Linked DNA regions of Drosophila melanogaster. The protein of the gene in region 3 interacts with the protein of the main gene of each other region in a pairwise test. Each region holds a gene or a part of one and is shown on either strand. Other genes may lie near its edges.

The links. The genes of interacting proteins can lie anywhere in the genome.
Region 1: the proteins of CG12766 (region 3) and mRpS35 interact in a two-hybrid assay, tested with the Drosophila melanogaster proteins (one large-scale study listed by BioGRID).
Region 2: the proteins of CG12766 (region 3) and Spn42Dd interact in a two-hybrid assay, tested with the Drosophila melanogaster proteins (one large-scale study listed by BioGRID).

Annotation. Positions count from the first base shown.
Region 1 is NT_037436.4:2,778,430-2,783,048, reverse strand, and holds mRpS35 (mitochondrial ribosomal protein S35), read right to left. Parts: upstream 2,151-4,619; 5' UTR 2,037-2,150; coding exon 1,919-2,036; intron 1,856-1,918; coding exon 993-1,855; 3' UTR 944-992; downstream 1-943. Other genes in the region: Pgant6 (polypeptide N-Acetylgalactosaminyltransferase 6), read right to left, coding at 1-148; Atg2 (Autophagy-related 2), read right to left, coding at 2,636-4,619.
Region 2 is NT_033778.4:6,881,072-6,885,816, reverse strand, and holds Spn42Dd (serpin 42Dd), read right to left. Parts: upstream 2,538-4,745; 5' UTR 2,488-2,537; coding exon 2,475-2,487; exon of another isoform or gene 2,410-2,474; intron 2,204-2,409; coding exon 1,359-2,203; intron 1,301-1,358; coding exon 1,159-1,300; intron 1,089-1,158; coding exon 970-1,088; 3' UTR 944-969; downstream 1-943. Other genes in the region: Spn42Dc (serpin 42Dc), read right to left, coding at 2,704-2,897, 2,967-3,108, 3,179-4,054.
Region 3 is NT_037436.4:3,937,573-3,942,347, reverse strand, and holds CG12766 (uncharacterized protein), read left to right. Parts: upstream 1-2,222; 5' UTR 2,223-2,263; coding exon 2,264-2,341; intron 2,342-2,460; coding exon 2,461-2,628; intron 2,629-2,696; coding exon 2,697-2,869; intron 2,870-2,988; coding exon 2,989-3,133; intron 3,134-3,191; coding exon 3,192-3,389; intron 3,390-3,452; coding exon 3,453-3,653; 3' UTR 3,654-3,724; downstream 3,725-4,775. Other genes in the region: CG10863 (uncharacterized protein), read left to right, coding at 78-245, 312-484, 578-722, 779-976, 1,044-1,235; CG10866 (uncharacterized protein), read left to right, coding at 4,602-4,775.

The sequences.
Region 1 (4,619 bases), 1.2 Mb from region 3:
TTTCGGGCACGGGCTCCACGCCATGATGGACTGGCTTGTTGGTGTACGGAGTAGATGAGATCCAGCTGGTTATCAGTACGAAGAGAGTCAGTGAGATCAACAAGAGCAGCGAGGCCTTCACTATCCACTTGAGATTGGGTCGCCGCATCTTTGCCGGATATCCGTGGCTACGTGTGCGCTCTACGGGTCTCTACGTCAACCATTAATGTCGGTGAAGTATATCTCGCGGTAATGGTGATATTGGTTTGTTAGCTCAGGTGCTGCGGATGTTTGCTGGCTTGTCTCTTTATCTGGCGGCACTGCAACGTGGTCTGTGGGTGAAAGAGAATAGTAGAAAAGTAGAAAAATTCAGAAACGTAAGCACATATGTATCTTTTTGGGTCGCACATACAAAAAATACAAGATAAGCGGCGAGTCATTTTCACCAATACGAAAGTTAAGATAATAGAAATGATATTTAACTGCGCTGAAGGAACATCCGCTGGATAGTTACCTTATCGCAGACATATGTCAATGAATGTACTATAACTTAGAAACACTTCAGCGACTAACTTTGTTTATAATTCCGGATTTTATAATTTTAATCAGGTGAAACGTCATCAGCAGGTGAATTCTTATCAGGAGTTTGTTCTCACCTCTCTACGACTGTATTCTACTCAAAGCTCCATCCAAACGGGGTTGAATAAACTTATTAACTACTAAAATACTAATTAGCATAGCAAAACAAAAGTTTGCTTCCACGTCCGCGGAAATTCGGTTTTTTTGGTTCTGTTCTTGGCGCTGTTCTAATGCCATTCACACGGGCACGCCTTCATTGTAAACAGCTGTTCGGACATTCACAACGAAGGAGGGGCGTCGTAAAGGGGGATTACATGGTTGCCCAGTTTCAATTCAAAATTATTAACAAGATAAATATTGTAACATTCAAATACTTGTTATGATTATTTTTTAACAACTTCTCGCTTTATTGGTTCACTCAACTATCCAGTTTCCTAGGCAATGTTCAACATCTTCTTGACCTCCTCCTTGTATTTGCCCAAGTTGTACTCGTTTTCGCCTTCGTTTATCAGTTTCTCCACGCATTCAGCGAATGACTTGCTGGGAACCACTTTTGGAGCACCCTTCTTGGCGTTCCAGTTGAGGATTCCCTCGGCGGAGACCTTCGACTGGTTACGCTCGAACAGATAGACCTCCATGTCGGCCTCCGATTTGGTGGCCTCCCACGGCTCGGTGACAAAGGATTCGTGATAGCAAGCGGTGAGCAGATACAGGGCGTAGTCGTAGTTCTGCTTCTTCTGCGGACAGCGATCCGTGACGAAGGTAACGAGGTCCGTGTCCTTGTTGTAGCGATCGCCCACCAGGCGCAGGAACTTATCCCTGGCGTGCGCATCGAACTTCAGGTCAGAGAGCTTCAGGGTAATGGTGACGCGCCTGGCCTCCGGATTCCTGATCGTGGGCAAACTCTGGCAGTAGTCTGTGGTGGTGACCTCCAGGGGGAAGTGGCGCTGCCACTTGGCCTCTGTCTCCAGACCCTTTGGCCATGGCGTGCAGAACTTCTTGATGGCTTCGCATTGCTGACGGATGGCCGGCGGTGTCAAGTGCAGAAAGTTGGGTATCTTCATCAGCTCTGCATTGGCGAACTTCGACGGAGCTGCTGCTCCGCGTTCCGTGAATCCCTGCCGCAGTGGCAGAGGCACACTGGCCGGGTGGAACGAACGTGGTCCTGGCCAAACGGCCGTCCAGTCCTGATCCACCGCCATGCGGCCAGTGCGCGGCGGTGTGATGGGATCCCGACGGACCTGCTGGCGCTTCTGCATCTGCTGCTTCACCGTCCGCAGGCTGAGCACTCGGAATTCTGGCCGATCAGGAAGATATATCCATTATAAAACGTGTAAGCCAGGGAAACTTAATTGTTTACCTTCATCATCCTCAATTTCTTGCCGCTGCTCCTGGTTGGAAAAAACACGAATACCGCTTTGCGCCGTCTGTTTTTTCAGTGGCAGGCGCTCCAACAGGCGAGTCAGCGCACTGGACATGGTTTTATGTTTAATTTTAAGCTTAGATACCTAATTTTAACTAATATTTCCAGCGATTTATGCGGCTTTTACGTAAACCATGCGCCAACGAACATTCATTCGCGCCGAATAGCAAGCAATCAGCTGTTTACAGAAACTTGCCATTCACAGAGAAGCATACAAATAAAAGTAACGTCTTTTTAAATCATTTTGTAAACTGCTAGTTGTTTTTATTTGTACTTCATTTTTAGCTGAGGGTTTAATAAATTCTGGTAGTTCGGTTAAATTTTGCTAGAATAGTATCCGTTCTTAAACTTTTAGCAGCACCATGAAGAAATACGTCATCTTTTTCTTTTATATATATATATATTTATTCAGGTAAAATAATAAAAAATATAACTCTCATGTACTGTAATATGGCTAAAAAGGATAAGTTCAATCACACCCATGTCGGAATCACCGTTCGGGATCCCAAATCCCTCGTCACCTCGCCGTCTCGTGCAAGTGCTCCTTTTATGTACATTATTTATTATTAGTAAAACAATAGAAAACATTGCGTTATGCTGTAAGCCCCGTGAACTATAGCTACCGTTAACCTAGTCGATCTGTGAAGCAGTTGCCTAGTGGATCTCCTGCTTCCACTTGTCGCGCGCCTCCAGTTTGGCCTCCGGAATCAGCGAGCTCTTGGCGCCGCCCAGGATGTTGGTGGTGGCCTGGGTGGCCAGCACCGCCGGGCAGACGACCAGCTGAGGGATCTGGCGTACCACCGCGCCCACCGCTCCGCTGTAGCCCTTCTGGTCGTGCTCCGTGATGGCGGCTTCGATGAGTGTGTTGGCCGATTCGTTGATGCCCTCTCTCACTATGGTATAGGCGTTGGCCACGCCCTCGCGCAGGTCCTTGGGTCGTCCCTGTCGCCTCCGTTTGCCCTGCCTGCCGCCCTTCCGCTTCTTCATGGAAGGACCTGCAGATAGCATATCGAAGGTAGTCTCCGCCGTGAATTGCAGCAGGTGTATAATCCTGGAGGTGATCTCCAAGGCAGCCAGCGCTGTGCGAGCGGTGAAACTCTGGGCACCCAACTGGAATCCCCTGATAATTCGTCCATCCTTGTTGTACTGCTCGATGGGCAGCCGGAAAAGATCGTAGATACCCTGGAAAAGCTGCAGCACCGCATTCGTGGGTCCAATCCCGCTTAGGATATTGGGCAATTGATTCCGCTTGATGTCCTTCAGCCACTCCTTGGCCAGGAACTCGCACAGTTTGTTCCATCCCAGAATGCCTCTGCGGTTCACAATTTCCCTCAAATTAATTCCGGATCCCTGCAGCTGGGCAAGACCCATGATTAGGCCGGTGACCGGTCCGCGGGAGAGTTCAATCCGCCGTCCATGATAGTCAAAGCAAATGGGTAGTGCTGGACTGAAGATCACCTCGCGGAAGAACACAGGTGGAGCCGTGGCAGGATCCTCCTCCAACTCCACATCCAAGCTGTTCTCTTCAATCAGCACATTCAGGTTCCTCTCCACCATCTCCTTAACTTCCGAATCGGGCAATTTATCGGATAACTCCTCCGGCATTTTGCTCACCGACATCACCGGCATATCCGTGGCCGACGAACTGCTGCCCTCCGTTTTGGTGCCACCAGCAGCACTAGCGGAGTTTCGGAACATGCCCGAAAAGAAGTCCTCGAGAAAGAGCAGAGTATCCTGGTCAATGTTGAGTTTTATGGGCAAAATGGAGACCCTCAGGGAGCACTCTTCCGCGGAGCTCTTTTGCGGATTCGGACGCACATTCAGAGCCTTCACTATGACCATGTTCTCGTCCGGCTTATGGGATAAATTGTTGCCCGTCGGATGGTACAGAAACTTGTTAATGTCCGAGGAGCGCAACCTATCTCTTATTTCAATTTCCGACACAAGGAGCACCTGACGGGACGAGTACATGGAGGTCAACGGATAGGTTTCGTAGGAGAATCGAATCTTGGAGAGCTGCATCTCCACTAGAACCTCCAGATTGCGCTGCGATCCTTTGGGTTGTTTGAGCAGACCCTTCTTGGAACCCTTTTTGTCCTGTTTATCCTGCTCTTGAGCTTGAGACACGCCATACTTGTAGGTATCGGACATGCCAAAGCCACTGGTTGCCGACGAAGAGGATTTCTTGAGTGGTTCATCGGGGAAATCCCGGCCGCCATAAAGGTGCCATGTGAATGTCATCTCGCAAAGGGTGTAAGTGCTCTCGGCCACTGGGAAATTAGATGGAGGCCTAAGCAGGTCCACTTTCTCATGCGGCAGCTCAAAGTGATTGTCCACAATCTGCAAAGGGTCCTCGGAGATGTAAATTTGCTTGACACCGAACTTGTCCATGCGTGAAATCTCCTCGTCGTGTATGATGTCGAAATCCCGCTCCTCCAGGGACGCGTTGCCCAGGGAACCCAGCTCCTGCTGCACCTGGGAGCCCAGTGATGTCTGCGGTTGCACTTGGCTCTGGTGGTAGTAGGACTGCAAGATCACATTCGATTCAAAGTCCAGGATGTCTCCGATGACCGAGGGACTCTCGACCATCAGTGACTTGGTCTGCAGCTTGGCGGACGTGGATTTCCGTTTCTCTTTG
Region 2 (4,745 bases), on a different chromosome or scaffold from region 3:
TCTTAATTTTGCAGATGTTGACAAGCAATTATGTCATTTTGTTTACAAATAGAAATACTCCTCTCTCCGGAAATCACATCGAAAGTGAAAAAATTAATTTCTAAGTATGTATACTAGATCAGCAAGTACATACATATATGTGTGTATGTACAGTTACCTTAATTATCTGTAGAGGATTTGATTGTAGTTAAGTTCGTGGAGCGCTGATTTCAATGGCTACAAAAACCGTCCACGTATTAAAAGTTCTGCCTCGAACTGAAGACTGATTTTCTTTCTGGCCCTACAACGGCACACTGTGGGGAAATTAATTTCTGTTTCCCAAGAGATTTTAAGTCCATCGCTAGCATGTGAATGTCTTTTTACTTTTTTTTTACGTTAGTATCGGCTTAAAAATATCAATTTTGTTTATTAAAAACTGGAGAGACCGCCGTAGTCGAGTAGCTCGAATATCACATACATACCACTTCCAATTTGCAGGTACGCGAGGGACTCGAGAAAGGCTTTTCACTTGTTTTTTATCTGTGGTATTTAGACATAATACGTTTAGGAACCGAGAATAGTGTTTTAAATTGCCTTTTTAACGACTTTTATCGAATGCTTCTAGGTTCATTGGTGGTGGATGTTTAACTTTTTAGTGTTTTTTCTCCGCTAAACTAGTCGTTTTTTTTTAATATATAATAATAATAAAATCGCTCGGTTCACCAGGACACTTAAAATACATGGCGTATTTAAATGAGTTAAAATTAACATATTTGAAACTTTTCCGAACGAAGAATCAGAAATCATTACACTTTTTATTTTTGGCAAAATACCACTTCTACTCCCTATTACCAACCTACTGGACAACCTACCTTCGCTGCGTTACCCTTCCGTCACAACGTGGACTGCTGTCCACATTGATCCTTAACTTAAAATGTAATCACTCCGCTTGGAATTTTAATTTAAAATTTAAATATTGTTTTTATTTATTCAAGGGCTTACAACACGCCCCTGGAAATATATGGTGTTCGCATCGCGAATGACGAAGGCAAAGGGATGATCGGCCATGAGGAACGTAGAAAATCCCGCTCGATTTGTGACGGCCACAGCTGGGAATCATTGGGAACAGTGAGTATATAGGAGTCAACATTCGACGCTGATAACCAAATCGGTACTTACATGTGGCACCTGCGGCCTCCGCTCCCTCCTCGTTCACCTCCAGAAACGCCTTGTGCGAGACCTGACTGACTTTGCCGCCTGACTTATCGGCGAACAAGCCGCTTAAGTCTGACTTGTCGGTGAATAGCTCTCGGATGCCCAGCTTAAATAGAATCGAGCGTCAAAGTGGCACAACCGTGTTTTTCTTGACGGAGTCTTACCTTCTCTAAGGTCTCTTTGAGTTCATCACGAAATTCGATTTTAAACTTGGGCAGCTTAAGATAGACCTCCTTGGCAACCAGCGGCCTGGCGAAGCCAACGATCTTCTCTTCCAGGGCGCTCAAGCCCTCCACTTCTCGGGGCAGAAAGATAGTCATGGACAGGTTGGAGTTAAGGTACGGCAGCTCGATGACTTGGGCATCTAGATCGCGGAAGTAGTTAGCCCTGAATGTTCCCATTTGCGCCATCATCTGGACGGGCACACTCTTGTTCGCAGTTACTTGGAAGGTGGAGGCTCTGGTCTTAGCTGGGTCAAACTTCGACTCCCACTGGCCCTTAAAGTAGATGGCGTTCACCAGCAAGGCCTTCACGTCGGACGTCATGCTGCCGGGATCGATCATGCCCTTGATTTTACCACTGGTCTGATCCAGCACCCACTGGTTGATTCTCTCGGCCGCCACAGGGCCATTGGTCAGACTAATGGACTCCGCCTCGGACTTGAAGGGTTCCCTCACAGCGAGGTTGTAGTTCTGATTCAGGCTGTACTGGTCGTTGACGTAGATGCGATTCGCGAGCTTTAGTATGGGTCCCTCCTCCTGTCCCTGAAGATCGTTGAGGAGAGCACCGTACCTGGCTGCCACCGCCTCTTTGTCCTCCGATGGTAAACCTAAGGCGCTCTGCAGCTCCTTGGCCGTCGAGCCTTCTGCGCCCATGAAGACCATGCTAAGGATGGTCTCTATGGAGACGGGCGAGACGACGAGGTTCTGGTTTGTATGGCTCTTGGAAAGTAGTTGGTAGATCTCTTTGGAGGTCTGACATGCCACTGAAGTGACCCACAGGAAAATGCCTAGTTTGGGGATGTTAATTATCAATTCGTTTTCAGCGTTCGGAAATTCTGTTCATGCATATTAAACTTGATATTTTTTACTTTTACAGACTAAAGCAAATCGAATTCAACGAAAGCGGATAGTCTTTGTAAGTTAAAAGTTAATGCCATAGCAAACGTCTTCACCATATTGTTTTATTATTTTCTATGAATTTAATTTAAATCATAAGTTATTATAGGTAATTTATTGCTTTGTATTTTAATTCACTGGCTATAAGCGATCGCCACTTACACAAGTAATACATTTGACCGTCTACAACGAACTCTTCCCCGAGATAAGTATCTCTGTAAACTGAGCGCCGAGTGCCAAGACGAGCTCATATATGCACTGGACATATATGTACCTACTGGCGATACTTCATTACGTTACTGAGAACTGCGCACACAGCTCTCTCGGATTGAAATCCAATGACGTCTAGTGGGATTTCATAGCTGAGTTCTATTCGGTCTCACTGCTGTTCTTAGACATTGTACATGTTGGCATCGAAACCTTCCCGTGACAAGCCCTCCTCTCCTGATCCAGATCCAGACTTGGGGTTCGAGAATCGGCCGGCGAAGAAGACGGCCTGCGGGTTTCGTATGTAAAAGACGAACGGGTGATCCGCCTTGAAGAGCTTCTTGTTCATGTTGAGCATCATGGGTACTATCTTCATGACTGAGTGTGGGAATCAGAGTTGAGATTAGTACGAGCAAGTTTGAGTTGCAAGCAGCTGATTTCACTTACAACTGACTGCTGCTGCCTCCGATCCTGCCTCATTTACGTCGATGTAGCCGCGGTGCCTTGCTGCCGAGATTTTTTGGCCACTTTGCGAGGTAAAGAGCCCGTCTAGCTTGGCCTTATCGCTGAAGACTTCCGTAATACCCAGCTGAGAATAAATATCAGATATTACATTGTTATTAAAACAAAGCCACTATTATCGGTTAAATGTATCTTACCTGATTAAGTACCTGCTTGAGGTCCACGTCGTACTCTATGCACATCCTGGGCAGAAAGATCTCGACATCCTGCAAGGTCAGCGCTGCGTCAATATCGGCTAGATCCACGGTGTTGAGTTGCTGCTCTAACTCCTGCAGACCGTTTACTTCGTTGGGCAGCAGAATTAGCATGTGAATGTTTGAGTAATCATAGGGCAGTTGCACAGCTCGAGCCTTCAGCTGTGGCAGTTCTGCGAACCGGAACTTGTCCTCTTGGTACATCATATTCACCTGCACGTGAGTGTCCCGGTCCACGTGGAAATGGTCAATCGATGTGGTCTCTGGCATAAATGGTTTCTGCCACTTTCCCTTAAAGTACAAGACATTGATGAGCAGGGCGCTCGTTTCGTTGTTCACGGCATCCGATTGAAGCAGGTTGGTGATCTTATGCTCCGTCTCCTGTTCCACCCAGTCGTTGATCAGCTGCGTAGCTCCCTCCGAATCGGCGAACCTCGTCGCCTCGGCCTTCGACTGGAAGAAGTCCACGGCGATCTCGTTGAACTCGGTAAGCAGTTCCAAGGAATCGTTGACGTACAATCGGTTCACGGACTTCAACACGGGTCCCCTGTCGCCGTAGTTACAGCTCGTGCGCCAGAACTCTCCGAAGTTTAGGGCTATGTGATGGCGATCTCCTGGTCCTAGCTGAAGCCCATTCCTTAGCTCCTCTGCTGTAGATCCGGAAGCCCCCATAAATGCCAAGGTCAATGCACTTTGGACGGATGCTGGAGAGAAAACCGTATTTATGTGGGGGTCTTTGCTCTGTTGCAGGGCATCTTTGGTAATGACATCTATCAGATTTCGCGCAAACTGATTTCTGCCTTCTTGGGGTTCGCTCATCTCGATCTGGGCAAAAAAATATATGTTTTAATTTATATTTTTAAATACTTAAATGTAACATAAGTATACAAAAATAAGACATTTTCGGGCCAAATCTCATTATCTCATTTGGCATTATCGCCAGCTGTTAAGCGCCAACTTGATCAATCCAGAACAATTTCGAATTCGGATTCAATCTTTAATAAAATAAAACATTTTCAAAATTGCCTATGCTAATTAAAAATAAATCCGAAATCCCAGAATGACGTATTAGCTTACAACTGCTACTAGGTGCTACTATTTATTTTAAAATAATAATAATAATTCCCTATTATATTTTTAATAGAACCGATGTAGAAAGTAAAGTGAAGTCAACTAGAACTTGCTTTCGTCATAACAAATTGCCTTATAGCAAACGACGCGATAGTAATTCAAAGATAAAATAACACACGTCACCTGATAAGGTTGTTGATGTTTTCAGATATTTAAAATTTAACAATACCCTCTACTGCATAGAGGGGATTACTGCATATTTAGATTACCGTAACTTAGCCTACTAAGTAAGTTTCGGAATTTCTTTAATTTACAAATCATCGATCAATGTGGACATGAAACAATAAATTTCTCTACGTGCACTGATAAGCTATTTTGGATCGGCGAAACAGGTGAGGGCGTCGCTGACCCTATGGGTGCGCTGATAACTTACACCGGA
Region 3 (4,775 bases):
GCCGTGAAGATCACGTCTTCGATGGTTATCAGTTGGAAACGGACCATATCTCATTATAAAACGATTCGCACTTTCAGTCGTTGGGAGGCGATTGCGAGCGGGCCACGCTGCATGCGATTGATGTGGGCTACCGGCACATAGACACCGCCTATTTCTACGAGAACGAGAATGAGGTGGGTGCAGCTGTCCAGCGAAAGATTGCCGAGGGCGTTATCAAGCGGGAGGACATCCACATCACCACCAAGGTGAGTTCTGTGATTAGTCAATTATGAAATGCCCAACATCCTGAAATGGAAATCTATACTCCCCAGTTATGGTGCCACTTCCATGAGCCGAAGAGGGTGGAATATGCGTGCCGCAAGACTCTGCAGAACTTTGGTCTGCAGTACGTGGATCTCTACCTGATGCACTGGCCCTACTCCTACGTCTACCGCGGCGACAACGAGATGATGCCCACCGATGCCAAGGGGGAGGTGGAACTCAAGTGAGTTTTTAATTTAGTCAATTACTTTTCTAATGCGGGTGTGCTTCGTTTGTATTTGCTTGACTCTTAATGACCAAATTTGTGCTATTACAGCGATATCGATTACCTAGACACCTGGCGCGAAATGGAGAAGCTCGTGGAACTGGGCCTGACCAAGAGCATCGGCGTATCCAATTTCAACTCGGAACAGTTGACTCGCTTGCTGGCCAACTGCAAGATCAAGCCAATCCACAATCAGGTGCGTCAATTGTGGTTATGCCTTGGGTTTCATATTCCTAATAGACCATTTTCCAGATCGAATGTCATCCCGCGTTGAACCAGAAGAAATTGATTGCTCTGTGCAAGAAGAATGACATTGTAGTGACCGCCTACTGTCCCCTGGGCAGACCCAATCCAGCAGAAAAGACGCCCAACTACATCTATGATGCCAAGGTGCAGGCAATTGGAGACAAGTACAAGAAGTCCACCGCCCAAGTGGTGCTCCGATATCTGGTAGGGATTACGAACTAGGTTTAATGAGAACAAAAACTCTTTATTAACATAATGTTTATCGAAATAGATTGAGATTGGAACCATCCCATTGCCAAAGTCCTCAAATCCCAAGCGCATCGAGGAGAACTTCCAGATCTTCGACTTCCAGCTGGATGCTGAGGATCATGCCATTCTGGATTCCTACAACACCGGAGAACGTCTGATTCCCATGACCCACGCCATCAAAAGCAAGAACTATCCATTTAACATCGAGTTTTGAGCTGGAAAGCAGGAGCAATGTTTGATATTAATTAAAGTGGTTGTTAAATCTGATATTTTGTGTACATATACATATGTTTTTTAAAAATAAACACCAATAATAATTATTTTTGAGATCTTTTTTCATGTTGAAATATTTATGTTTATTTTGGAGATTTTTATATAACAAGCACACTTATTTTTTTTTTTTTACATAATATCGCATTAGTTTTACTTTTAAGCATTTTGATAGTACGTAATTCTTCTATTTTAGTCTTATCACTTGAACTGTTTCTTATTTGCAGTCAAGGGTGTGGCAAATATTTTAAAGGGGCATAAAATATAATAAACATTTGAAGTCATCTATGAAAACAATACGAATTCATTTTGTGATTATATACATATAATCTTAATTAAACAATACCCTTTTTTGGACACCACTGCTGAACATTTAATGATTTGAGAGAGAGCTTTTGCTCGATCATTTAGTTTTTAGTGTGGGCTTGGCATGGAAAATTCCACTTAATCAAAATCATTTGGTCTAGTACAATTTCGCCAACACTTGTCTGAATTCAATTATTCACAACTGCAAGGCAGATTGCAAAAATGAAAAGCTATAAAAGGGAAGAGAATATAAACAAACCCACATGTAATAGGTAAATAAACAAAACTAGCGATAAAGTTAACCGAATCAGCTTTGCGCGCCACTCAACTATCAAGCTATCGATAAGTGTTTTTCAAAAGTGTTCCCACATATTTTTAAATGGGATTTTACACATGATTTGGTTTGGATCATTTATAAAAAATATGTGTTTAATTTATCCTTATTAAAACATTAAAATAATGCATTTAATATATTGGTTAGCACACTTAGAACCTACGCTCCTTGCGTCTCTATAAACTATTTCCAAGTTTCTCTGCCAGCTTGGCCGTGTTTTATCTGCAAATGCAAAAGGTCTTTTGAAGGTTCTATGGGCCCATTCGAAAACCTTATAACAGAGGTGAAGCGAGCAACCCAAGCATTCAGTGTTCAACTTTGTAACCGCGAAGATGACCGGGAAAGTGGAGTACTACTTCAAGCACAACGACGGAACCCATATCCAGGGAATCGGACTGGGCACCTTCGCGGTATGACATTGACTGGTTGATCATAGCATATCCGATACGGATCAGGAATGTCGCCTATCAGTAGCCGGGTTAACGTCATTTGAAGAACCGCTAACGTTATTGATGACTTGTGATTTCAGTCGACGGAAGGCGATTGCGAACGGGCAGTTCTCCACGCGATTGATGTGGGCTACCGGCACATAGACACCGCCTACTTCTACGGAAATGAGGCCGAAGTGGGTGCGGCGGTTCGGAAGAAGATTGCCGAAGGCGTCATCAAGCGGGAGGACATATTCATCACCACCAAGGTCAGTTGGCAAGTTCTTATAGCAGGCATATCATAAACTAATCCTTAAGTGGCCACATATTTCCGCAGCTCTGGTGCAATTTCCATGAACCGGAAAGGGTGGAGTATGCCTGCCGAAAGACCTTGAAGAATATTGGCCTGGATTATGTTGACCTCTATCTGATTCACTGGCCTTTCTCCTATAAATATCGCGGTGATAACGAACTGATTCCCAAAGATGCCAATGGAGAGGTGGAACTTGTGTGAGTAAAATGAATAATATATGAAATATTTCGAATCGATTGGCACTTACAAGTGATTGTGAAATGCGCCTTCTATTATCAGTAATCTTACTATGCCGTTTACTTGCTTCAAACTACAGAGACATTGATTACCTGGACACTTGGGGCGCCATGGAGAAGTTGGTTGACCTGGGCCTGACCAAGAGCATCGGAGTGTCCAATTTCAACGAGGAGCAACTGACGCGCCTGTTGGCCAACTGCAAGATCAAGCCAATCCACAATCAAGTAACTTAGTCACAGGATGTTCCCTCCAGTTTCTCAACTCATATTGTTCTTTCTGCAGATTGAGGTACACCCCGCGTTGGATCAGAAGAAACTGATTGCCCTGTGCAAGAAGAATGGAATCCTGGTGACCGCCTTCAGTCCACTGGGCAGGCACAATGCCGAGTTGAGGACGCCCACCTTTATGTACGATGGCAAGGTTCAGGCCATCGCAGACAAGTACAATAAGTCCATTGCCCAAGTGGTGATCCGATATGTGGTAAGGATTTTCGATTTAGGCCTTATGTTGAACCGGATTTCTCATGATGAATTCTAATTTCAGATTGAGCTGGGAACCATCCCGCTGCCCAAGTCCTCCAATCCCAAGCGCATTGAGGAGAACTTCAATGTCTTCGATTTCAAGCTGGATGCTGAAGATCATGCCATCTTGGACTCGTATCACAATGGAGAACGTGTTGCCCATGCCCGACAAGCCATCAAGAGTAAATACTATCCCTTCAACGTGTATAGTGCTTGTTTTTGATACAACAAATATATTTAAGTTATTATGATTAATAAATAAATAGTAACCCTTGTAAGGGAATGCCCAAAAGCAAGAAGATTTCTAACGTCATTTACAATCGGTAAGTATTTTTCGTAAGTGTTTTGTATATGTCTTTTTTGGCCTTATCATCACAAGTACTTCCCATTGATATTCACATGGATTGGTTAATAAATCAAACAGCGCGGCACTTTTTTGTTCCAGTCATTCAGTTTTTTCTTAGAGAATGTATATATTTCTTAATGCAAAAATTTAAAAACTGATATACTTTTACAACAAAAGTGAAAACTTTTATTTTTGATTGTATTTAAATCGAAGTTGTACCCGTATCATAATGCACAATAGAACAGATAATAGAAAATAGGGTAGCGGATCCATTATGAAAGTCAAGTTCTCGATAAGAAAAATATAAGAAGTCGATTGTTTTACCCAGCTAGCTGTGAAAATAGGAAATAATATGTTTGTATTAAAATCTACCAATGTAAATAACATTAAAAGCTTTTTCTCTGCTGCATTTAAAATAAAATTGAAATGATCAATGTCATGAATAGAAAAATGTTACAGCGAATATTTTAAATTTCAATCTCGCGGTATTTTGTAACGCATTACAGTATATTTGCTGGCTGTAAGAAATATCGATAGAGCGGTTGCCGAACAATATCGATAAGTATTTATTTACTCTTCCAAATATTGTGTGATATTTTTATGTGCGCACATCCATAACAAATATCCTTGCAAATCGCCGGGAACACGACGAATTGCAGGTAAACAAGATGCCAGCAGTACGTGGACATTACAGCAGCGAAGATTACGTGGAGCAGCAACAGCAGGAGGAGTAAGTGCACACAGCGGAAGCAAGTAAATCCGTCCAATTGCCGAAAACCAGAGCGTAGCCAGCCGGAAAAGTAGAGCAGACTCTCCCAGAAATCGATGCCCCACTGCCACACAATGGTCTATATGCGAATTGTGCTAACAACCTTGGTGACCATTACGTGTCTGCTGGGGGACAACTTTGTGGAGCTGACCCAGCATCCATTGCTGAAGGCCCTGGCCGACAATGCCACCCATGCGGCCATTGGAGCACTCACGGGAATCACGTTCGCC